Linked DNA regions of Styela clava. The protein of the gene in region 2 purifies or fractionates together with the protein of the main gene of each other region. This does not show direct contact. Links are inferred from orthologs where the notes say so. Each region holds a gene or a part of one and is shown on either strand. Other genes may lie near its edges. The genes, in order: transcription initiation factor TFIID subunit 6-like and transcription initiation factor TFIID subunit 1-like.

Region 1 (13,023 bases), on a different chromosome or scaffold from region 2:
CAAAAGTTGGAACTATACCAAGCATTCATATTAGTAATGATATTATATGGGTTCACTTCTTACCAGACAAAGAATTGTTAACTTGTGTTTTCATTTACATTTTGTCCAGGTAATTGTCATCCTGGGATAACTGTGCTTTAATTCTATTTTGCACTTTTTAACTGACCGGTGAAAGCACAGCATGATGGTATGGCATTGTGGGTAAAACCACTGAAGCTTTCCTTTTTGGTACAAATACTGCCATGCTGGTCTACAGAGGCCATTCAGAACTTCGGTATAGCAACATGTGCCTGATGTCTGACTTTATACAGATGGTTAACGGTTACGATTTATTTTAACCGTTAACTGACATCTCAGGTACAAATCATCCTTATACTCTACAATTTTTTTCAAATATGATTACATCATCGCAAATTTATCTCTTGCTGCGTTTAATTCAAAAGAATATTACTGACTGTGTGAGTAAGGACTCAATAAATGTGAAAAATAATGGAAGTACAGATTGTTGATTATGGAAATTTGACGATGATGAATTCAGAATCAGTTTTCGGTCTATTTCAAAAAATATTTTTCTCACGATGACATTGCAAAATCGTACATTTAATGTCATACAACAAGTGTGCAGTTGATGCCGTTTTTCTATATTATATCTCGAAGTAGAATTTGCATATCGAACACTGAAACTTTGTGACATAATGACGTTTATCAAACGGAATCTGGTTTTCTAAAATACTTCCACACGCCCGAACCACGCTGCCTATTCTTGCAGCAGAGCAATCATGTAACTATCTCGATTCGTGAATAAATTAGAGCGATACCGAGATAAGAACACGCAAAATTACTTTATAAGCATTGTGACGTAACGAGCTGAATTATAAATTAATAAGTCAAACGTCACGCGGCGGTTAACCAGTTAATTTTACCCGGTTAACGGTTAAAGTGTTTTCCCTGAAATTCCCAACCAGTTTAGTAAATTCAACTTAATCTCACTCACATATTTCTCCAAGTTGAGAGTAGAATTGTCCATCAAAGCTTTGACCATTCTCATAAGATAAATAAGTAGAGCAAGATTGTTCTGAACGACATTGACACGAACTCCTTCTGAGACAAATGTACTGAATCGAGGAAGCATCTGTGATAATCCAGGATCTGTTGCAAGAGACTGAAGTGCCTCCTGATAAAAGAAATAAGATAACAGTTATAGCTTAATGCCACGATTCCCCAATCGAAGAGGAATTTCTCCTACGGAGGAAACACAAGAAATACTTATAACAGCTATAACAGCTATAGCAGTGGTTCCCAACCTTTTATGACTCATGGTCCAACGGGATACGTGTTGCAGGAACAGCTCAGATTTGTTATTTCGCAACAACATATAATCGAACACTTTACGGCACATTTTTATGTGAACAGATTGTTGTGGTATTTTGGAAGTGATGCTATTTATATTGTCGCAATCGCAGATTAAATTGATCACAATTGAATCAATCAGATAAAATTATATGATCTTTATATATATTTTTGAACCCCTTCCAGATGGTTTTGGCATGGCCCCTGTTTATCATTCCAGGGATAATTATAGTGTTATTTTAATTAGTAGATCCCAAATCCCAATATTTTCGAACAATCCATGCTCAACAAAGCGAAAACACCCTGTGAAATAACCTTATCAAGCAATAAAACTAGGAAAAATGGGGAGTTTTCCCGTGAAGTGGAAAGTGAAATCAATTTGGTGCCTGGCTTTGTGCCAAATCCCATCCTATCTTACAGCATGTCTAGCTTCACCAGAGCCTAGGCTCGCTGTAAAGGAAACCCATCTTATTATTTCTTTCAGCACTCACGAAACCCCCTGTTTAATATTCCAGTGGTATTTATATTGTTATTATGATTGGTAGATTCCAAATCACTTTACGTTCAAACAATCAATGCTCAACGAAGTGAAAACACCCTGTGAAATAACCTCATCAAGCAATGAAACTATGGGAAGAATGGGAAGTTTTCTTGTGAAGAGTAAAATCAGTTATGCGCCCAACATGGTGGCCCCTTCCAACTGCTCTGTGGGCCCCGTGATCAACCCCAACCTATCAGTGGTTGCTCGTCCACATGGTTCCAGATTTGAAGCCTAAGATAGCCCAAGTAATATGATAACTTACAGCACGTCTAGCTTCACTTGATCCCACAGCTGCTTCAGTAATTTCTTTGTAATAAAGTTGTTGCTCGACAGAGAGTTCGTGAGTAAATCGAGGCTTCAGGTCAACCTTTGTTGCTTCAGTATTTCCTCGTTTCTGCAACAGTTTTAAAAAAAATTCGGTTCGATAGATAAAAAAAATCGGAAGTGAGATTCTTGGCTAAAACCTAAGGTTATCTAGTGAAGACATCTAGGACTGGGATATTAGGAAATGTATGACATACTAGTGCAGTGGTTCTCAAACTTATTAAACCGTGCCCCTCTTTAAAATTTGTCTAGTCTCGTGCCCTATCACAAAAATACCTAGCTAGCAATAAGTTAAAAATAACAGATAGTAGGGAAAAAGTATATTAAAAGTCTGTTAAAAATAAGTGGACAAAACGTAAAATTTGGCGGGCAAGATCAAACCTAGCAAATATTTTTATTCTCAATTAGCTTCACGCCCCCTCAAAAAATTGTCTACGCCCCAACCAACGTTTGAGAACCACTGTATTAGTGTAAAAGTTTTATCAATTGAAACCATAAGTGAATCTACCACTTTATTTTGTAAAAGTTTCTCTTCAACAACAGTAAAAAATTATAATAAAAAAGATCTTATATTTTTTTTACCATCACAGAAATTTTTACGACCCTTATGAATCAACCCTGTAAAATGTTTAGTCTTGGACTATTTTAATCAAGCGGGGTGGGGTGGGGAATTTCCACTATTTAAATAACTATAAAAATAGAATACGATTCAGTATTCTGCATTTGATTTAAGTCTTTTGAAATAGTATAATATTCTACATTGCCCATATGCTGCCACCGCAAAAGTTTTGATGTTTCAAGTTTCAAGTAACTCTGAAAAAAGTATAGTCTAACCTTGTCCTTAGTACTAGTTTCATGTGTTGCATTCTTCAAGGGATTATTTGCAGGGACGATGGAACTTTTCAAAGGAGCAGAACCAGGTAGAGGTTTAGATTCTGTTTTATTTAAGACATCTAGTAAAGTGGTTTGCTCTGGAGCTGGGTTCTCTGGTATGCTTGGTTGGACTCCATCGATTGCTAGCCAGTGAGCTGTAAATACAGGGAATGGTGATGAGTGAAAATAATCAAACTGAAAATATTTCACTCTACAATAAATTGTAGCTCTTTATGTATCAAAGGATGATTGGTTTTTGTCCAGGGTCCTGTGGGCAGTGAATATTAAATAATGAAACTCAAAAATATATCTATTACCATGAAATATCATTCCCATCACTATCAGAGTATGCAAATATCTCACCAAAACCAGTACTGTGAAGTGCAGGACTGTGCTATTAAAAGTGCTGGCAGTTGTAAAAATTGATAGAAAGTAATAACCAAACTAAAATATTCCAGTTCTACAAAAAATCACAACTTCCTATGTAATAGTGGGTGTTTGTCTAAGCCTTGTTTGAAGAGAATTATCACAAATATAGTTTGGATGGTCATAATATATTACACCAGTGCATAAAAATCCATCTGTAGAAAATCAATGTGATGGATAAATTTGTCAAAATTAGTAGTAAAACAACAAGTACCAACGACTTGAGAAAAAATTTGAAAGCATATATGCAATAGCATTCTAGGAAACACCTCCACCTCCCCCAAGTAATTTAAAAGTTAATCAAGAAGATTTCTAGTCCAAATAACAACAATTTAGCAAAACGTTTTCTAGTGTCCATGCAGGAAGACATTTACCTTTCACGGCGATATCATATGGAACTCGTGGCAGAGGGTTATTAATCAGTTCGGTAAGATCAATTTCTTTGTCCTCGACAAAATGTAGCTCTCTACCGCCCCCACTGGCAAATCTGAATGGTATATAATCTTCTGCGACGAACCCGTATAATGGTTCAATGTTTTTTGACTGAAAATAAAAAATATGTGAGAGTCTTTGTTCCAATTGAAGTATGAACGCAGTTATTCTGGCATATAAACAATCTGTCGGAGTAAAACAAAAGTAGCATCTGCCACATTTTTCAGAAATAGATTTTTTTGTATAAACCATGGGCCATTTCCGGGACTCTGTTCCAATTCAAAGCTACACTTGCTTCAGTTTAAATTTTAGTATGTTATGTTAATTTTTGGTTTGACTGTTAGAACTAAACTATTGCGAAACACCTTCAAACCCTTGCATTTATTTTTATTTATTAAGGTTTGAGCTAATAAAAAGGGAGGATACAAAGTTTTGTGTTACACTTTTCATAATAACACTTAAAATAAGTTTTCAATGTTATTTCATCCTCCCACAGATAATATTTGCGAACACGCTTGAAGCCTTAACTTTTTATATACGAATGTAAGTGAGCACATAAGGCGAACCTATCTTCCTGATTACTTGGAAATTATTTTGGACATGGATTTTTTGAACAACTTGAAAGTATGTATTTCTAACTTATTAACTCAAGATACTAACGACTTAAGCATACCCTCAAAGCTGAATCAACATCTCTACACGTCAGAATCTTTGATTTTCTGTGTGTTGAAAATTTCAATGATTCCTATGAATGAAGTAAAAGTAAATATTAGTGAACATTGCTTAGCACAGTATCTTAAAATTCAGTAGGGCACAGTTCTACAATCCCAAGATTTCCTAACATTTGGTTCAATGAAACAAACACTCTATATGTCTCTGAAACGAGGGGGTATGGCACAGGAGTGTATGTATCAGATTGTGCAATGCTTGTCCCGATAATAATCAAACATCACCAAAAATCCATTTTTTCTGCTAAAAACTCTCGAATGCTACAGTAAAGTTTTTATTCCTTTTGTGAACCAGATTATTTGTTTTTCCGGGGAATCGAATTGTGACATTTTTAGATTGCGCCACCTTTTAGTTTATTTCACAAAGTTGGTTTGCCGATTTATGCCGATATGGAGAAAAAAACTGTCTCGTTAAGGAATGGTTTGCACTCACTGATATAATTGATATGTGGGAGCTATTCTTGGAATCTGAGAACAGTGTCATACTGAGATTGGTCATCTGGTTTAAATTCAATTTCATAAGATGTTAATTGTGAATGCCAGAAGATTCTCTCAAAGTTAGGTCATGCTTCATGGGTGAAGGAAACAGAGACTGGCTAAATATTGATTCATATAGAGAACTCCATTATAGACAAATAGATAGGAAAAAACTTCACGGAAGGAAATCATGGAAAAGACTAAATTTAAAATATAAAAAATTCATAGACCTAATTTTATAAGTAGTCAAAACAAAGTGATAATGAAAATCTATCTAATGGTAATTTTTCTCAAAGTGTTTTAGTTAAAAATTAGAAAACGCTGAACAATGAAATTAATATGAGAAGAATTGTAATCACTAACTTGTATAATTTCTTTCAATCTATAAGTTGCCTCTTCTGCCAAGCATGACAAAGTGTCTTCAGTTAATCGAGCGACACCAGCTGATTCGCTAACGGTTTTGACAGATTCTGATGAAAACGCAGAAAATCTGTCAGGTCGAACTTTGCTTTCTTTTTTCACACTTCGTTTACTTGTATCAGCCATTTAAAATAATGTAAATACTCTAATACAGTAATATGCTGTTAAAAATAACAGTGGATAATATACAGTTCAGCAGTTAGTCTATACGCTAATACTGTGATGCTAGTACCGGTATGCAGGTATGTCTGTACGTATATTGCTAAAACATTTTTCTTCGTAAACCTGGGCCATTCTGCTATGGCAGTACAGCAGTATGGCAATGATGTTGGAATGTTACGGTACGCCAGGACTACTCAACTATTTTCCCCAAAGGTCCGTTTAGAAAACTTCAGAATTATTGGGGTCCGGACATTACAGAATATTTTTTTCATTAAATAAACGAACGTCTAATGATGGCTCGTAAATATATCTGTATATACACAAATGTCGCATATTGGTACCAGTACAACAAACTGTAGACTATAGCTAGGCTACCTATGTACCAGTATTTAAATTGTATCAAATCCTCTAAAACTACCAAACAATGCTTATGCTGCCAAAATATACAAGCAGACACGGTCCAAATTGTCGAAAGGGCCGGATTCGGACCGCCAGTTGAGTACGGTACCGATATTGATAACCTGCTCACGATACCGTTTTAACGCCATTGAACAGCTTACTTTAATTCATATTTGTCCTTATCCAAATTCAAACACCTGTAAAGGATACAAGTACCGAACCTGGAAGCAGGAAAGTTACCGGTATGTTGGATCCGCGTCATGGCCGTAGCGTTTGTTCATGCTTTCAGACTTTCAACTTGTGTTACTTGTGTACTGAATACTAATTTTTTGTTAACCTGTCCTATCGTATAGGCCTGTAAGTTTCCCCATCGCCGCTTTATTTTAATTAAACTAAAACACCGGGTTCTAAAAACGCTTCAAATTCACTCAAAAAATATAAAGTGATTATCTGACCTCTAACCTCCGAACCTGCTAATTACGGCTGCTGCGCCCTCTATGGATGTTTGCACGAGCATCGTTTTCCCTGTTTATTTTCGTAACAATGACCAATCAACAATAAGCCAACAATGACGTCAAAATTGCAATCTGTAAAGACGCTCCGACACTTCTGTCGTTCAGACAGATATTTGAGCATTGTTGTAAACATTGCATCGTTTTGCGTGTTATTTGTCAGTTTTTAGTTGTTTTTCCAAAAATCAGTTGTAAATCAAAAAAGTTGATCGTCATTCTGTCTTCCGAAAAGCTTTAGTCTAATTGCAACAAAGGAATTTGGTTTTAAAAACGCTACGATGGACTAGACTAAAATTAATTATTAGTATCTGTGAGCTGTGCACGTGAATATTTATTTTCAATATACAAGCCAGTTAGCAAGCGACAACCAGCAGAAACACTTTCAGAATAGGCATTGAAAATCTTGAAATGGTAAATAATAGAAAGAATCTTTCTGGGGTCAAAGGTTGGGAAAACATCCTTATTTATTTGGGCATGTTACAATCGTTGGGAGCGAGTAACCGTGACATGGTACGAACCTGGCAAACTGGCAAAACTGATCTGATGAAGTAGGAATTTTAGGCAATTTTAAGTTCAAGTAATATTACAGTTGCACTGGCCATCTTTCCGGCAATGTAATTCCACCCTAACTCGCCAACAGAATATATTTTTATATCTTTAATCACCATTAGGACACGCTGAGAAAGCATTCGTATCTACTTAAGAATTATTGTTTCAATTTTTGAATAAATTTGTAAAAAGCGTGCTAATAAAAAGACAAAAATAATAAAAAAAGGAAAATAAAATCATAAACGAAATAAAATCGATATATATGTGTTAATGATTGTGAATTTTATATTATTTACAAGCCGTTCCTTCGTCTAACCCTACATAGAAAGTTGTAAAAATGCTCAAGAGGGATTAGCCTACGGAGGAAATATAATGTGCTAAAATCAATCTTTTTGTGCAATGTATCAAGCACTAAAGTTAGTAAACGTAATTTTATTCACAAATCATTTAACAGAAGTGTTGAATTATATATTACACAATTTCAAGTTGTTATTAAAATCACAACGATGGATGCAAGAATACTCGTAGCCCCGTGTAAGGCAAACCTTAACGCAGTTATCTCTTATCTCTTTCAGAAAAACAGTTTTATGAGTAAGAAAAGTAACGAATACAAAATGTAAGTATTGCCATATTAAAGTTCGGTTATATTATTGTTCTACTTTTTTCGTTCTTCCTTTTTTGTGTAATTGATTTTTATCAATTCATTCGAAAACCTGAAAATTGCAACAGCACTTCCTGTTACTCGCTGAAGAACAAATCGATTAACCAGTGCAACGCTTGCGAATTGATGAAATGCGTCAACTATACATTTCCTGCGTTGATTTCCTAATAAAAAGCCGTTGAAAGCCTCATCTGTGTCAACTGCTAGGTTTCGTTAATAACTAGCGAGTATACTGTTAACAATTTCATGTCATATACTATTATTTCGTTAATACATTATTTACATATTTTGAACCGAATTTACTTATGTCACACACATGCACAAATTTTAGCTCCTAATGTATTTCCATCCAAATTTTTGTTTATTTTTTATCAACGCAAATGTGATAGCCTTGCGATTTTAAAAACTCCAGTTACGACCAGTAGCCTCATTTGACGAGATTTAATTAAGAAGACGAACCTAAATTTGCAAGTGTTTGGTGTTTCCAGTTTCTTCGAATTTCCTGTCGTATTGTGCATGTTGTCTTCCTGAATTTCACGATGTGTTTCCAGATTTCCGTTTTCGCGTTTTGTATCTCTGGTGTGCGGTGCGAAGATTTCATCCTGTTGTTATTTCAAAGAACATTTCCAGGCGAACGATTGCAAAATATCAGTCACGCAAGGACAGAGGAAAGTGATAGAAGCAAAGGTGTTTCAAATTTTAGGAGTCTTCCAATTATTGTATACCTCAGTAGTTTTTATGGTCCGGTGAAAACAACCCAGTTTGCACAAAAATACAGTGTTAACGTAGTGAGAATGTGATTTAAGAAAAGATTTACATAAAAACAGAACTCAAGTTTATCTGAGTATTAGGTTTGTTGTTATCGTTTGGATATCTGATTAGTTATTTTCATCTTTTTCAAATTTTCGTCCATTTTTATTGGCGCAAATGTGATAGCCTGCAATATCAAAATCTTCAGTTACGACCTTGTGCGATATTTAAAATGACGAAACTGAATTTGCAAATGTTTGGTGTTTCAAGTTTCCTTCATTTCCCTGTCGTATTTTCCTGAATTTTACGATGTGTTTCTAGACTTTCGCTTAATTTGCGTTTTGTATATCCTTCGTGTGCGGTGCGGAAGTTTCATCATGTTGTTACTTTTAAAGAACATTTCCATTTAAATCCCAGAGTTTGCATTTAAACAATTCTATTTTTAATGTGCTGATGTGATATCCTTGCAATTTCAAAATCTTCAGTTACGTCTAGTAACCCCCGTGTGCGAGATTTTGGAAGACTAACCTAAATTTCCAAATTTCCGCTTTATCCGAGTTTTTTTTATGCTTGGTTTGGGGTGCGGAGTTTCATCATGTTGTTGCTTTTAAAGAACATTCCAGACGAACGATTGCGAGATATTAGTTACGCAAAGAGTGAGGAAAGTGAGAAAAAAAGGTGTTTCAAATTCTATGAGTTTTCCAATTATTGTATGCATCTGTAGTTTTTAGTGTCCGTTATAAACAAAAATACAGTGGTAAAGTAGTAAGAATAGGATTGCAGTAAAGAACAAGGGCACAACTACATAGTAAAAAAAACTCAAGTTTATTTAAGTATAAGATTTGTTGTTATTGCTGGGATATCAGGTATGCTAATTGTTCTTTTTTTTAATTTTTGTTAATTTTTATTGTTCTAGCCTAGCACTATTGTTACGACTGCAGTTACACGAAATCTATATAGTTACACAAAATCTATATTTACGACCGCCTTGTGCGAAATTTGAAACGACGAACCTAAATTTCAATATATTTGCAGGAAAGAGGGAAACTTAGTGAGGGTTACCAGAGTATTAGATTTGGGGTTTCATTGGAATCTCAGATGAGTTATTTGTATTTTTTACGAATTATACCTATTTTCAACAGTATAGCCCAGTTATCAGTTACGTTGGTTCGTCTTCTTCAACTAAATACAAAATTCATGAATACTATGCGTGTTGCTTTACTTGTTTACTACTGCAAATGCAGTAGACTTATAGGATATTGAGTCATTCTGCTGCTTTTGGTTAATAGTTTACGTATTTCAACTTAAAGTCATTCGAACCTTAAAATTAGAAGCACTGCGTCATAACAACAAATAGCCAGCAACAACAGCAAATACTAATTTTATTCCCTAAAGACTATCGCGTTAATTCATTTTCAAACTACGATGTTCAATTGAATCATCCGCTAAAAAATCCGACGGAATTTGACCCTGCAACATTTCCAAAGTAATCAAGGCGCGTCGATCGATCAATCATTAGTTTTGGCGTGATTCCCAGATAATGACACACGGACATGGCATTTTGATACTTCCTTACCTGCACATTGTATAGAGATCGCAGAACCAATGGCGTATCTACGTAAAATGGCGCTCATGGCAAAGTTAAAACATGCGCCCCCTTGATTGTTGACTGGAAAAGTTTTAATGACTGTTGTTGATTAGATACTTGTACGTTATTAATTAAGTAAAAATATGAGTTCAAATTATTTCCAATTTAGAATTATTTCATTGAAACATTTTACGATTTTAGGTTTTCGCGCTTTTAGCGGCTCCATCCAAACGGCGCCCATGGCATGAGCCATGCCTGCCACACCCTAGATATGCCACTGCGCAGAACAGAAACAAACATGCTTGTATTCAATGTTTCGACTGGTAAAATAGCAATAAATGACACTACATTTAAAGATCACGTATATATTCAGTATGTATACACGTTGAGTTGAGTGGGATATGTGTTGATTTGAGTACGCACGACCCCTGGCTCCAAATTACAGTACATTGAATTATTAGGATAGGATGATGTTCGTATACTTATCACAGGAAGAGAAAAGTCGACATTTTAATCTTATGACAAAAACTCCTTCTTGCCCACACCGTACTCGCCGCTAATAACATTATTTCTATAATTAAATTATCTGATCTTTTAACTAGATATTGAAACCTTCGGTGTCGCTGTTCGATAACTAGATTTGTTTCCCCGCGACTTCTCTGCCAAAATAAAATTGTATGATTACTATTTTTTTTAGTTATTGTATGTGTTTGTTTTTCGCTGGTTGAATAAAATAAATTTGCGTTGACTTGTTTACCAGTCTATAATTGGTCCAGATGGAACTTGAATAGCAGAAAAGGCCGTTATTTGACTAGCGAATACGCGAACGCGGTTACGACGACGAGAAAATTCAACGTCTTGATATCTTTTTGCGCCCAATCGGAATTTGAACCTTCAACACTTCCGAAGTAATCAACGGCGCGTCGTTTCATCAATCATTAATTTTGCCCTGATTCCCAGATAATGACACACGGACATGGCATTTTGATACTTCCTAACTTGAACACTGTATGGCGGTCGCAGAGCAGAAACAACACGCTTGTCCTACGTGATTCAATAGTCTTGCTGACACACTAAAACAAATATATTTCTGTAACGTTTCATCAGACCAAGGTCAAACATCCTCAGACATACATATACAGTAGTTCAAGATAGTTCATGGATTTTCTGGCTGTTAAAATAGCAATAAAGGACCACTACATTTAAAGATACCGTGCATATGCAGTATATATATAAACACTTTGTCGAGTTGAGTATGTACGACCTCTGGCCTCAAATTGCAGTCCATTGAAATATTAGGATAATATATTATCCGTGTATTCATCCCAGAAAGAGATAAGTCGACAGAAAAATTCAACCTTTTGGCGAAAACTACCTTAGATTTTAGATATGGTGGTGGCGACATCCAAGCAATTGGTCCAACTTGAACAGTAGAAAAGGCCGTAACCTGACCAGCGACTTTGCGAACACGTGTGTGGCGACGAGAAAATTTGGATTTTTTGTACGAAGCCCCCACCACTAATGCAAAAATATGAAATTTGAGAAAAACATTCCCGCAACATTTTGGGATACAAAATTAGTAGGCTACTTATCCGGTTAGGGTCAGGAATGAGTGGGATTTCCATCGCAATATGCATACCTATAGCCCTAACCCTAACTGGATGATAACTAATTTTGGCGCTCCAGAAGTATGTGCACCAAGATGGCGCAAAACCTGAACCCTAACCTGGTACACATACTATGTTCAGGTTGTGCGCCATCTTAGTGCTTATACTTCTGGAGGTCCCTAATTTTTTAATTTTGAGCGGTGACGCGGGTGTTTTTTTTTCGCGGAGGCTTTGTACAAAAGATCCGAAAATCCTACGTCTCGATATCTTCTTGCGCATAATCATACCCACGGAATTCGAACCTGCAACACTTCCAAAGTAGTCAATGGCGCGTCGTTTGATCAATCAATAATTTTACCCTCATGTCCCAGACAATGATATACAGCGTGACATTTTGATACTTCCTAACCTGAACACCTTTTGAAGTCGGAGAACGGATACGTGCCTGCTGTATTTGATTTTGTTACCTGTTGAAAATAACATTAAATTACACTAAATTTAAACATTGCGTATATATCGAGTTGAGTATGCGTTAAATATGAGTTCAGACGCGAGATCTGTGTAAATATTGTGGCTTGGCGACGTTGCGCATGGTGCTGGGCTTTAGAAGTTACCCTGCGTGAGTTCGCAGGTTCGAATCCTGTGCGGGAGAGGATTGCTGGACTCCTCGTCACCGTAGAGTGGTTCAAGTAATTGCTGGTCGGTTACAGATTTCTTCACCATCAAGTCCGTGCATCTGTAAAAGATTGTTGGCTAACTTACCCATGCCCGACATTGACTGATAATCGAACGAGAGGCTGTGGTCCGCCATATTATTAAGCCGTCACATCGTTTCTCTCTCCCCCGGGATAAATATGTTAATACTATTCTGCTTATATGGTTGCCCAGTAGCTCTTTTCAGTGGAGGGAATTTTAATTGCCATCGCATTTTAGATTTTATACTATTCATCTTATTTCATAGCGTTTATTTAAAGTTTGTCATATTTTATACAATTCTCACCATACTTCCGACGTGTAGCATTTCAAGAAGTTGCGTTTCCTGAATTTGATATTTATTGAATACATTTCCGGCGTGAGAATACAACAAATCGCGTTCCTGAATTTCATTTCACCTAAACTGATTTCCGATTTTCTCAGAGTCGTAACGATAGGAAATTCATTCTCATCTAACGCTTCTGGGAGTCGTGGAAACGTTTGTAAAGTTGTCGGAAGTCGTTCCGTCAG
Region 2 (13,284 bases):
ATGGCGAACCACGGCTTCTCGTCCGGAATCATTCCATGTCCAGATGTTAGCATGTCCAGAGTAGGTGCAGCGGCGAGCGTATTCCTAACGCAGTAACACTTAGCACGATGAGCCACACCGCCGTGCCAATGATATGATGGTAAATGGTATGATACTAAATACCGTAGTCTAGCCGAAATTTGATTTTCCAGTTTATTTTGTTCTTGTCTATCTGCTCAATCTAATACTGTAATAGTAATAAAGATTATTTGGTGCCTCTTTAAGACCTTACTGCCTTAGCGTGAGGTCTATCTACAAATTTATAGTCTATATATCACCTGGTCTTCGAAGGTCTGAAGTTGCAGCCTAAAGTCAACTGCATTAGGGTTAGTGTCATATTCCAGTAGTCATGCTCTCATCCTGCAGTTCAATGCTTGATAAATTTTATGTTTAGAAATAAGTGATATCCATTCAGTCGCTAGGATTGGGAAAATGCCTCAGTACAGCAGTATGCGTTATTCTATATTAACACAAAGTTTTTATCGTTTTTTTTTCTGTGAGGTAGGCTATCAATATATCAATAATAATATATATTAATAACTTTATTTTAATTTCCCCAAAAAACATACACGGAGCAAATAATGACCAGGATACAGAATAATGGGAAAATCAGGAAAACAGGCAAAATCTCTAGGAAGATTTAAAACATGTGGAAATACATGTGCCTGTTTATCCATATCACACGCATAAACATATTATAAAAAAGATAAAAACACGAACGTGTTATCGTTTGGGCATCTAACTTGTGTAACAAACAAACTGTAGATGCGGTGGGTTTCAATTTATAACTGTTTACGCCGAAACGAAAATGATTGCTGGATTGGGCTGTGTTTATCGTTTCGGATTTATTCACACAAGAAGTTTTAAAGCAAACCAATAATTTAAATAACGTAAACAACTGCGAAGTAGTGTGCTAAAGTAGATAAAAACAGTGTCAAAATAAGTAATAAATAAATCTGAATGTCTTTTTATGGAATTTTTCATTATAAATAGAATCCGACGTAGTGATGTGCTGTAGTGTACGATGTGCAATGTAATTTCATATAAAATGCCTGGTCATTTCTTTATCCTTAGTTCTTTGAGAAGCAAGTATGTAAAATTTGAATGGCAGCTGTAATTTTGATTCAACTTTCGGATATGTGTGTACTCTATTTCCATGATTGGTCCACTCTCATTTTCTGCCTTTTTATCGTCTCTCACGATTGTATCTCCATTATTTTCATAATATACAGATCTCTGATTACTATGATATAATGTAAGTTGCAGCCTCTTGTTCACTTTTTTTTGACGACAATAGGATAGCGTATTGAATTTCAAAAGGAACTTGACATCGTTCTCTTATTAATATGAAAAGATCTCGTTGACGTTCCTTAAAGTTGGATTAACAAAGCCAATAGGCAATTCATTTTTCTTTTTGATGGTGCGAAAAGTCGGCAGTATGGCGAAAGCTGACTTTGATCAGAGGCAAAGGGAGTTGTACAATATGGTGGCAAAAGAAAATTCGAAACTGAGTGTTGATGCACTGTTGGTAAGATAACTAACTGTTTTTGTATTATTTTTATTTTAAATTTGACATATCCTAATTACAGCATTATGTTTGTATTGTATGTTATTATAAAATAAAATGTTTGTGTATTACTTAATAATTGACAGGCAGTTTTCAGTTTTAGTTCGCTTGCCCTTTCTGGTTTCAGAATTTCATAACTGACCTGACCTCATTTCTATTTAATTCAATTTTGAGTTAGAAACCAACGAATCAAAGATTTACATTTTTGTATATGTATGCATCTACAATCCAGCTACAGTTGTCTCATTTCGAAGATAAACCTTTTGTACGATCTGACTCTAACACTAAAACTTGGTGTTCTTATAGTTGTTGCTGTTATTACCATTTTTTCAATGAAATGTTTCAGAAGATAAAATGAATATTTGCGTATAGCATATTTGTGCAGTTATAGGAAAGCATTACACATGTGCATACATAATATTGTTATATTAATAGGGTTAATAATTAATATGTGGCATTTGTAAATTTAAAGAAGTTCTATTCTATGGACCTTTCCCCGAGCATAGACTTCCTTGTTTACTTCGTGACATTGGCCAATCAGCAAGATGCAAAAAGTGACGTAACAATGCCCCCTTTTCGCATCCGCTCAGACACTTTTCTCACTCAGACAGATTTTCAAGCGTGGTTGTAAACATTACCTCGTTTTCGCGTTTCTGAACTTTATTCGTTAGTTTTCAGTTGTGTTTCGGAAACTCAAATATAAATCCGATAATTCAATGATCACTCTGTCTTCCTAGGAGTTTCAATTTAATTGCAGTAATAAAAATTAGTGTAGAAATAGCTGTGATAGACTAGCCTGAAATTCTTTACCGGTACTTTTAAAAAACAGATTGTTGTATGCGATGAATCATAAGGATGGTTTGAAACACATACCCCATTTTACATGCGCCAACTCGCAAAAGCACTCCTAAAATAGCCCCGAAAATTTTGCAATGGTAAAGTATAGGAAGAATTTTCCGGGGGTCAAAGGTCGGGGAAAGGTCCATAGTTAGAGAAAGTGAAGACATATCATAATGTTAAGGTAGTTATGACCGAATCCAGTCTAGACATAATTCATTAATTCGGTCAATTGAAATTTTGTGTGAATAGATGATTTGCATCTCTGTTTCGTGTTTTAATACACACAATACTTTACCTCATGTCACATTTGTACTTTCTTTGATAAGGGATTGGACATAGGGAAAGGATACTTTGAGTTACAAACTTCAGATTTACTTCATGTAAATAAGCATAGAAAACTCACGATTACGTGTCAATTTGGTGAAACAAGCAAACATATCCTGGTACCCACCACAGTCCACAACAGTATTGTTTTTGTGATTTGACCAATAGCAGTATAGGGAATTATGCTCATGCATGCCATTTGAAAAGTTTTGTATTCTCAAATACCCTCCAAGTTTGTTCGCAATGTTAATTGTACTTCTATTCATATTCTCCATTTTATTATTATTTATTGTTACCTCTAGTTGAAAGTTCACAGCAGTTTGTTTTGTACAGAGTTTTACCATTCCTCCTTTGTGCCATAATTAACCAAATAAAACAAAGTTTAATTGGCCTACTTTGCTTTGTAGGAACTTAGCATGAGTAAATGTGGCATGTATTTTTGTAGACTATTATATCAGACTGCATTTTAAGGTTTTGGTATTCAGCACAGAATCAAAAATTTATTGCATTCAAAAACAACATTTCTTTTTAAGTGCTTAATCATTGAAGTTTTGATTGATAATTGATGGGTATTCACACAAAGGCATCTCGAATTGATGCCAATGATTAAGTGTGTGTAGGTTTATAGTATATCATTGAAAATTGATTTAATTTGGAATATGTCAATTTGGGGATTAATGGTTGTTATAATCTTCAACTGAGTGTTCCAATGGAGATTACCTATACAGTGGAATTCTTGATGCATCTGATTTTATAATAATGAGTTTTATGAATTATTTGCTTCTCAATTGACTATGTGTTGATGAGACACTAAAGTACATTGTTTTTTACTGGAAATAAGTAAATTTTCTAAAAAATAAAAGAAATAAATATCATTTAAAATAATGCATAGATTCATTGAAATGATGATATTCATGCTATTTTGCAAATACAGAATCAACAAACATACATATTTTAGCTTTTATTATAACATTCCACAAAAACCAAATAGTAAGAAGTCTGGTATTTGTTGTGTTATATACAATAAAAAGGTACAACACTATATAATGCTATTCTTACCAAGACCATTATGACAGTATTCAGCACGGTTTATCTATTAATATTGGCTGTAGACTTATTTGACTTTCGACTACATGTATTTATTCAAGCATATAAGGCACACAATTACGTCATTGTCCAGCTTTACTACAGGTGATGAATTGAGTGCTCATGTCATACTAAATTATGCAGTGAGATCAAATTCCACAATCAATTCTTTGTAATTTTATGGTGTTAATCAGAATAATTTAGTTGTCCTTAGGCTCAGAACTTGGGCTTTGTTTCAATTTTTATTTCAAATTTTGAACCGTGAATTTTTAAAATGCCAAATGAAAATTTTTGTTATAAATGTAATATGGAGCATGAGATTGAACCCGGTTTTACTACATAGTTGATAGTAATTGGTAACAATATAGCTATAAATCCTAAAATATTTCAAGGCTTTTTCATTTAAAATAAGTGACTCTGCCAAATAAAACTACCTGATACTGGTATACTGATGATTTTTCCAATTATTCAAATGTTAATTTTTGATTGTAAAGTTGTTTCGGTATGCCTTCCTTTGACAAGATATAGCTGATACAACAAGACTTATATTTTTTCAATCCTATTTTGGACTAAATAATTGGTATATGTTTAGCTGGCTATAGGTCATTGAAACTGCATTCTTATATTAATTTCTCTAGTTTAGTTTTATTTTTCAAATTCAATTATTCATATTTCATACAATAAAGTATTAACCTAACATTGGATAATTTGTATTAAATAAAACAGTTTGTATACCAGTTGAACTATGGTAGTTTGTTTGATAGTTCTTCCAGTTTCTTATTCAAAAAAGGAATTATTAGTATTGTTTTCTATTATAAACAAAGTCACAATTATAATGAATTATTAATGCAATGTAAGCCATACATTTTATCTTTCAATTTGATGTTGAGACCTTCTTTATGACTTAGGAACTGCTATGATACTTTACTATGGAGTTTATATAATGACCAACAGTAACATATTCAAAAAAATATTATGGATTATACTTTCTAACCACAAGCTAGGGTTATTATAATATATTTATTGCACTGAAACGACAGTTAGTTTAATACATTTTCTAAATTATTTTAACCTGTTTGTGGTATTCATGCACACCTGTTAACAACTTGTTGTTGTTCAATGGCAATGTAAATATATGCTTGTATCATTATACTTCTTTCTTTTTGAAGTTTGCGTTTTTGCCCGTTTTGAGCCACTTTATTTCAACTTGAGATCCTGTATTTATATATATATATATATATATATATGTTTTAGAAATAGTATTAAAAAACCTTCTAGATCAGAGCTTTTGACACACAAAATAGTAATACTTTACAAACTTATTTTAAAAATAGTATGTTGTGGTTTGTCTTTTTTTTTACATGGTTCTACTATAAATACCAGTAATAATTATCTGATTAAGCCTTAAAATAAACAACCACTTTTCTGAATATAGGCTACATAACGTGTCAATCCTATCAAAAATGAAATCGCTGAAAATTTCAGTATAAATGTTACAGAATTTGTCGATAATTTTCTGGTTTTAGCTTAAATGATCCATGGTTTGGCATGGTATCAAATCAGTATTATGCTTGTAGTTGAAACTTACAATATATTATCTTACTATATCTTAATATATTATACTTCTGTGCTATAGTTTTTTCTTGTGGGATTGTCTTTCTCTTTATATAAGTGAATTTGCATAGTTTTCTGTGGAGTTTGCTGTTTCTCATTGTTGAAGGTCTGATTAACTGGTATTTTACACATAACCAAATTCTTGTAAATACAAAATTCACATAAGAAGCATAACCAACTGGGTTTAATTCAGTTTTAACTATTGAAAGTAATCATCACACAACCTTAATACAACCAAATTCTCCAATCAGCTAGATGGAAAAACAACATTATACACAATGCAAAAAATGGTATGCACTATTGCCTATTGGTAGTAAATATTGTGCAACAACACGATAATCCAAGTCAAACTATTTTAGGCAAAATGCCATATGACAAATTCACTAACGTAGTCAACTGGATATTTTATCTCCTATACTGATAATTGTATTTGATATTCATTCTAATTTTTCAATTTGTTTTCATAGGATGGCATCGTTGCATTGGTTACGGATCTAGACACTCCTGCTTTGAGAAGGAACAAGAATGTGGAAAATTTTTTAAATAGATGTAAGTATTTAATTCAACTAATCATTTAGTTATGAGCATTAGATCCGTTTGGAAAACTTTGATCCAACTTTGACAAAATAAATGCTGAATAAAAAGACTATCCTTTTCAGCAATCTGTTATGAATATATTTTCCATAAATGTCAAGTTCTGTATAAATGAGTCAAGTGTCTTATTCTCATTTGTATTGCTTTGCGGATGAGAGTACAAAGTGAGAGTCATTTCAACAAAAAAAACTTTTATATTTCCAGACGCACATCCTGTTAAGAAAATTTATGAAATAAGGATGAGAGCTTCTGATTTCACAGTAGTTAAGACAATCGGTCGAGGAGCTTTTGGTGAAGTTCAACTCGTTCGTTACAAACCCACTTCTAAAGTTTATGCCATGAAGTTATTGAGCAAATTTGAAATGGTGAGTTGTGTCATTGGTGAAGTTATTCAAGAACGCATGTCGATAATGGAGTTTGTTAAATTATACCCTTGTTTGTTTTTGATCAGTCTTATTCATGGATAATTATAAAACACTTGAAAAATATGGAAACAATTGTGTTTAAATACAATGTATATCCTACTATTGCTTTGCGGTATATTTATTTCTTAATAATAAAATCTTCATTTGGTAAAATATGTTTATTCAAGTGACATGAACCTTACCACATAAAATATTGGCATTGTTATCATGGAAAGTACTTGGCAACACAATTGTTATGACTGCTCTGATTATCATGTTGAACCACACATTCTAATTTTAGCTTACTATATTTGAGAAAGTTTCGCAGTTTTATCGGCATTTCGTGTCCAAATTGTGTGTGAATTGTGTTTGTGTGTAAATATGACATTCTTCCACTTTGGTTTTATCTAAATTTATGGACAATCATCTATATAATTTTTTGTTTCGGTATATTCCTTTTATAATGCTCCATAGATCAAAAGATCAGAATCTGCTTTCTTCTGGGAGGAAAGAGACATTATGGCACACGCCAACACGGATTGGATCGTGCGTTTGCAGTATTCATTTCAAGACAATAAATACCTCTATATGGTAATGGAGTTTATGCCTGGTGGAGATCTGGTCAATCTCATGTCTAATTATGATGTGCCTGAACAATGGGCAAAATTTTACACAGCTGAAGTCGTTCTTGCCCTTGAATCAATACACAATATGGGATTCATTCACAGGCAAGTTATCTAACTAATTAAGCTTTTTTTTACTGACGACTCATAACGGAGAGAGTCTATATTCATATTGTCTATTTCATATTCACTTGACTAACACAGACAGTCCCAGACTCGTAATAGAACTAAAATAAGGAAAATCGGAATAAAATTATTAAGGCATAGCCTTAATCTGGTACACACACTACAGGAGTACCCGTTTTTTTCTGATATTTCCGCATAAAAACTTTACGAATTGATTCTTGTATATATATATTTTATATATATTAGACTTGTGCAACACCTATCCCCCTTTAATACCACACATCAGAATGTTTTCATACATTTTGCTGTATTTAATTCACCTGATGTGATATGGCATATGGGAGTATGTTTTTTTTAAATAACAAACTTGAATATACTTTACTGAAGGAAAATGTTATCAAATATTCTGCAACTTCATCGATAGTAACATTCTCCACTATTCCAAATTGTTCTTAGGGTGGTATTGGTGAAATTTAGCCAACTCTGGTATTTCTAATACAACATTTTTGTGATTTGAATAGGGAATATCACATCCTATGGATAAACTGTCTTTAAAGTTCGGTCTATAACTTTTTTTTAAATGTTCTATTTGTATTTTATATTACCAGTATTTATTTTTAGTCATCAGGTTAGCAGTGATATAACAAATCATTTTTGTTTCATGCAATCTCATTTTTGAATCATATGGTAAAGGAGGGACTCTGAATATAATATACTATAATCTGTTATTTATATTTAATACCATTCATAATGTACCGGTAGTTCAATTGTGTAATATATAATTTTTTAAAAACATTCGTTATTGAAGACCAGTCGACAATCACAAACATTGTAGTTTATTATAAAATTTATTATTTGTTTTAGTCACTTGAGTACATTTATTAAAACAAAATTGTACAATAGATATTGCCAGTTGAAAAACTGGCCAGTTTTCTGTTTCATTCAATATTGATGACTTCTCCACTGTTGTGGCTAACATAAAGCTGCTGATTATTTAGTCCATCGTGCCCGATATTGTATATTGCATGTATAATAAATAGTCTTGTTACAACGTTGTGTGTCCTATGGGAAGTTTATACGTATTACTGCATGACGTAATCCAACTTTCAAATCATTATGATATTTTATTGCGATATGGAACCATAATATTGGTAATTAAAAGTATTGGGTATGGTGGAAATTGCCTATTAATAGATCTAAGGCTCATATTAAGGGTTCTTTGACAGTTGTTTCCATAAAACCCAATTCCGGGCATTTATTTGGTGATGTAGAGAGTTCATGAAGCCTGTATTAAAATAGGTAAAAGAACTTTAACATGCTCCGTGCAAATGATGGTCGGCATAAATAAAGGTGTATAAAATAGTAAGTTAAAAAACTAAATAACTGATTGAAATAAAACAAACCTGGTTAATAAGATATATTAAGAACTGACTTCATACCACTATTTTGAAATTGTAACCGGAATTTATGAACACTCATCATAGCTTGGCTTGGCACATTGCCAATAATAATCAATCTTTAAGTCAAATCATGCTTCATAAATATAATGTTCTGGATTGTGTCAGGAAATATATAATTCAAAAACGTGAAATAGTTTTTGTATATACTTATTAGGATAACTTAAATTACGAAATTAATTAGTTTGATTGTATTCAGACTGCATTATGATATTATCAATAATATTTTATTTATAATTTGTTCTTCTTAATGTGATGTGAATTTACTAATTAGCAACTATCTGCTTTTCTGATAGAAATTGTCAATATTCAACCGTGAACTACAAATAGACTCATACCAGATGTGTTGTTCAATATTGTCCTATTGTTAGTTATATATCTTGTGATATAATTACATTCCAAGTACAATTCAAGTTATTTCATGCTTGTACTTACGGTGGCTAAATTAAAATAATTCAACTTTTCTAAATACACTTCGTACTAATATTTTGGAATATAAAGTATTGTGACATTCTAAATTGGGTCATTTTCAAGAGAGGCATAAATCAATAAAAATTTATAGTAAATGAACGATGAATTTAGTTTTGTTAAAAATAAATTAATCGTTGTTATTATTGATTTTCTGTTTTTGCCTTGCCTGATTTAAGTGAAATCTATTTTTTTTATCTTGATCATCAGATAGTACTTGATTAAAATGACAAATAAAACTGACCTAAATTTTCTTATATTACTAAATTGAATGCATACAATCTTGAATGTATTCGATTTATTGTGGATTATAATGCTTATTAGTTTATGGAACTTGTCCTATTATCTTGTTTCATTGTCAGCAAATTGATCACCAATAAGCAAAAATTTTACAAATTTAAAATATTTGTGTTTGTGGTTGGTATGCTGTCATCCATACAATTATTTCAGTAAATGAAGGAAAAACAGTTTTTATTGTTAATTGGATTGCATGGTAACTTTTTATATTTGTCTATAAATCTAGCACTCAATATGTATCCTTAATTAACCACGTTTCTTTTGGTAATAAATTTACTTACTTTTTTATTCAACAGGGATGTAAAACCTGACAATATGTTACTGGATGCTCAAGGACATTTAAAACTTGCTGATTTTGGAACTTGCATGAGTATGGACAAGGTAAATGAATAATTACTATTCAAACACCTGCAGTAAATTGAATTCTTTATTGGAATTAGGGATATTTGTGTCTGCATAGTTGTTTATTTTAAAATTTTGTTCAGAATATCAATTTTGAATATTCTTAATGAATCGAATTTGGCAAAAAATGAGTGATATGAACTTTGATTTTCCAGCAAAAGTATAATTCAAATATTTTTTTATTTGGAATTTTTTACTAATTTTATTATAACTAAATTCTTGAAACATCTTCACTAACAGCTATTGTCAATTTTTATGCAAGTAATTGTTTGTGAAACTACCCCAGTCTTACTTCAAATGTTTCCTAGTGAAAAGGTGAACTAACCTGTAATGATGAAATAATTGAATCATAAATTTCAATGATTTCAGTCTCTCAATGATCATTATTTATTTTATCTTTATTCATCAAATATCTTCAGTTGAAATATTAGAGTACATCAATATTGTGTTATGACTAGTCCCTTATTTTTGTTTTCTAGGAGGGCATGGTGCGTTCTGACACAGCCGTTGGCACTCCTGATTATATTTCACCTGAAGTATTGCAATCACAAGGTGGTAAAGGTTACTATGGTCGTGAATGCGATTGGTGGTCGGTAAGTGATTGCACGATTGACCCGGATTCTTGTTTTTCAATAAATTATTTATATGTATCTTCTAAGAATCTGCTTTTCATTTTTTTATCAGTGTATAATCATAGTTTTTTTTAAACGATAAAATGGATCGTATAGCATTTAGAATATTACAGAATACAAATGAAAAAAATTCGCCAGTATAGGGTATACACAACATAAAACAAAATGCAGCATACTTCACATACAATCTAAGCATTTATTTTATATATTTGACATGTTTATACACCATTCACCCAGAAGAACAAATTTTGTAATATTGTACCTTAAAATATTATTTTATTAATCTAGCTCAATGTACCCAATTGCCATATTGCTCCATTATTTTGTCCATGATCAATTATTATTTTTGGGGACATTTAAAATACTTGTTCTGATATATGAAACTAATCTCGCTTTTCTTATTTGGTTAGGTTGGGGTTTTTCTTTATGAAATGCTTGTTGGTGACACCCCATTCTATGCCGATTCTCTTGTCGGAACTTACGGGAAAATTATGGATCACAAAAATTCATTGAGTTTTCCTGATGACGTCAGCATGTCGGATCATGCTAAGAAATTAATATGCGGATTTCTCACAGACAGGTACATGAATTGGTTTTGTAAACCCCAAAATTATATTTTTATTCACGGTATATACTGTTGCTTGAATGGGATTCTTTAATGTGAATAGTTGATATAATCCTCAATAGGTTTATTAGGTATGTATGCAAATTTAGTGCATTGTGCAGCAAAGTATGGATATAAGTCATATTTTATTTCATCAATTTCATCGAACGAACACCGTTTTGCTGTGGCTAGGATTCTACCTTATACGAAATATTAGGACAGTTTATCATAACTTATACTGTAATTTTATTGTACTTTTTACAGTACTTTTAATTGTTTCAGAGTAGATATGCACGATCCCAGTGGCATAATGGCTTTATCATCAGTATTGTTAAGTGTTATATTATTAAGAATTCAATTTATTTTGCCGAATGAGAACAGAAACACTCTAAGTCATAAATTGAAGTTTTGGAGAAATCTTATTAAACAGTGCGCTCTACTCTCACCCGGTACTATATTTTGTTTTTCTTATATTTCTAATTTATGTATGATTACCATTGAGCTTATTTTTTTCACAGTGACCGTCGACTTGGTAGAAAAGGTGTTGAAGATATCAAAAAACATCCCTTTTTTAAGAACGATCAATGGACATTTGATAATATACGCCAAGGTATATTTACTAAAATTTTTCAATGCAAAAACAGTTGTCATTATCTACACACATTTTGATGCATTCTATATAAATTTTTTAATACTTAAATTGTTTATGTTAATTCCTGTATCCTGGTTTAGTTATATTCTGGTTGACGAAGCATAAAAATTGATATTGTTTTTGATATTTTTCGTATTCCACCTTTTTTTACTTTGGTTATTCTTTGGTGCAATGCCAATCGCTGAATATGTTCTTTATGTGTTTTAGTTTGGATTCTGGCTTTGTTTTCTTTGTTTTGCCGGACAATTTTCAGGTGTATTTAAATACCAATTTGTTTATTAATGAAGGAATTTCTATCGGTTCAATTTCAACAACATTTCTCTTTTTCCTATATTGTTTTGATATTAATTAAATGATTATGGATCACAGAAATTGAATCCTCTCTCACTGCGCTGAATGCTGATGCAATTATTATCTGTTATTTTTGTATAAGCATCTTAGAGCCTGTGATTTTTGCCTTTTACTGCCCTATGATTTGTGTGTGAATTGATTGCCATATTTGTTTGCAACCCTGGACCAAAATATTAAGTTCATGAATTTTTGCCGTTGACCAGCTCAAATTATGATTATAAAACGCTCTCATTCGCAAATTTTCTTGTTTACTTTTTTGATTCATTGCCACATTTTTGCTACGTTTTCGTTTCGCTCTGATGCACATCTGTGATTGATGATGAATACTGGGCTGCTACTTCGCAATGGGTTTTCCACTATATTGCACTTTATGCAGGGATGGGATTTTGCCTTAATATCATATTCCTATGGTGTGGCACAAGGAAATTTACATGAGGCACTAGATTATAGTGTTGCTTAAGGCATAGATGGCTTAATTAAGCTGGCGAACAGCTGAAATTATAGTGATCATTGAAATGTGTTTCTTTATGTAATCAATGATCACCAATAAATTGAATTTCAATTTAAAATAATAAGGAATATGGTTCGAATAATCTCAACTATCAACAAAACATGGTCATATAAAATATACTTTGAAACTGATCATTTAACATGCACATACTATCAAACAATGCATCGATTGAAAATTAAACAGTTTTTATTTTTTTGTCCTCATCTATGCCAAAGATTCCAACCAACTTAATACACACTTACCGAAAGGCAAAAGCACTGTGATTTCACTGAAAGGCAAAAACTCACTGGTGTTATTGATACATGAATGAAAAATTTCTATTAGCCCTAGTAGTTAGGTTCAGAAGATCTATATAGATCTACTGTACACTGTAATAATGACATTTACTTATGTTTGAATCATTTATGATGTGTATCAAGTGCATGTGTCATAAATCATGATTCCATGCGACATGGCGGCAAACTGCATGAAAAAACAATAACTTTGATTATTAAAATGTCTATATATACTCTTTCTCAATAGTATTTTTTATTTCAACTATGATATAAACTCAATTATTTTAAAAACCCTGCCTGCTTGCAAGTTCATAGAATATATTGTGTTTCAAGTCAACATATACTTCGTCAAACGTGAAATTACATACCTGTATGTACTCTTTTTTTTAATGCAGCATTATTTTAACCAAATTCAATG

Evidence for each region.
Region 1: the proteins of transcription initiation factor TFIID subunit 1-like (region 2) and transcription initiation factor TFIID subunit 6-like purify together in Drosophila melanogaster (affinity purification with western blotting; 3 studies listed by BioGRID, with this or other methods). This does not show direct contact. The link is inferred for Styela clava from reciprocal best matches to the Drosophila melanogaster genes Taf1 and Taf6.

The regions. Positions count from the first base shown.
Region 1 is NC_135256.1:4,774,174-4,787,196, forward strand, and holds the start of transcription initiation factor TFIID subunit 6-like, read right to left. Parts: upstream 5,729-13,023; 5' UTR 5,698-5,728; coding exon 5,515-5,697; intron 4,692-5,514; coding exon 4,620-4,691; intron 4,058-4,619; coding exon 3,889-4,057; intron 3,244-3,888; coding exon 3,050-3,243; intron 2,286-3,049; coding exon 2,154-2,285; intron 1,175-2,153; coding exon 995-1,174; intron 1-994. UniProt on the Drosophila melanogaster protein: TFIID is a multimeric protein complex that plays a central role in mediating promoter responses to various activators and repressors.
Region 2 is NC_135257.1:9,177,910-9,191,193, reverse strand, and holds the start of transcription initiation factor TFIID subunit 1-like, read right to left. Parts: upstream 5,878-13,284; 5' UTR 5,695-5,877; intron 1,568-5,694; coding exon of another isoform or gene 1,457-1,567; exon of another isoform or gene 1,271-1,456; intron 1-1,270. Other genes in the region: rho-associated protein kinase 2-like, read left to right, coding at 1,457-1,567, 5,938-6,019, 6,269-6,429, 6,943-7,196, 9,736-9,820, 10,321-10,434, 10,884-11,053, 11,596-11,687. UniProt on the Drosophila melanogaster protein: TFIID is a multimeric protein complex that plays a central role in mediating promoter responses to various activators and repressors. Largest component and core scaffold of the complex.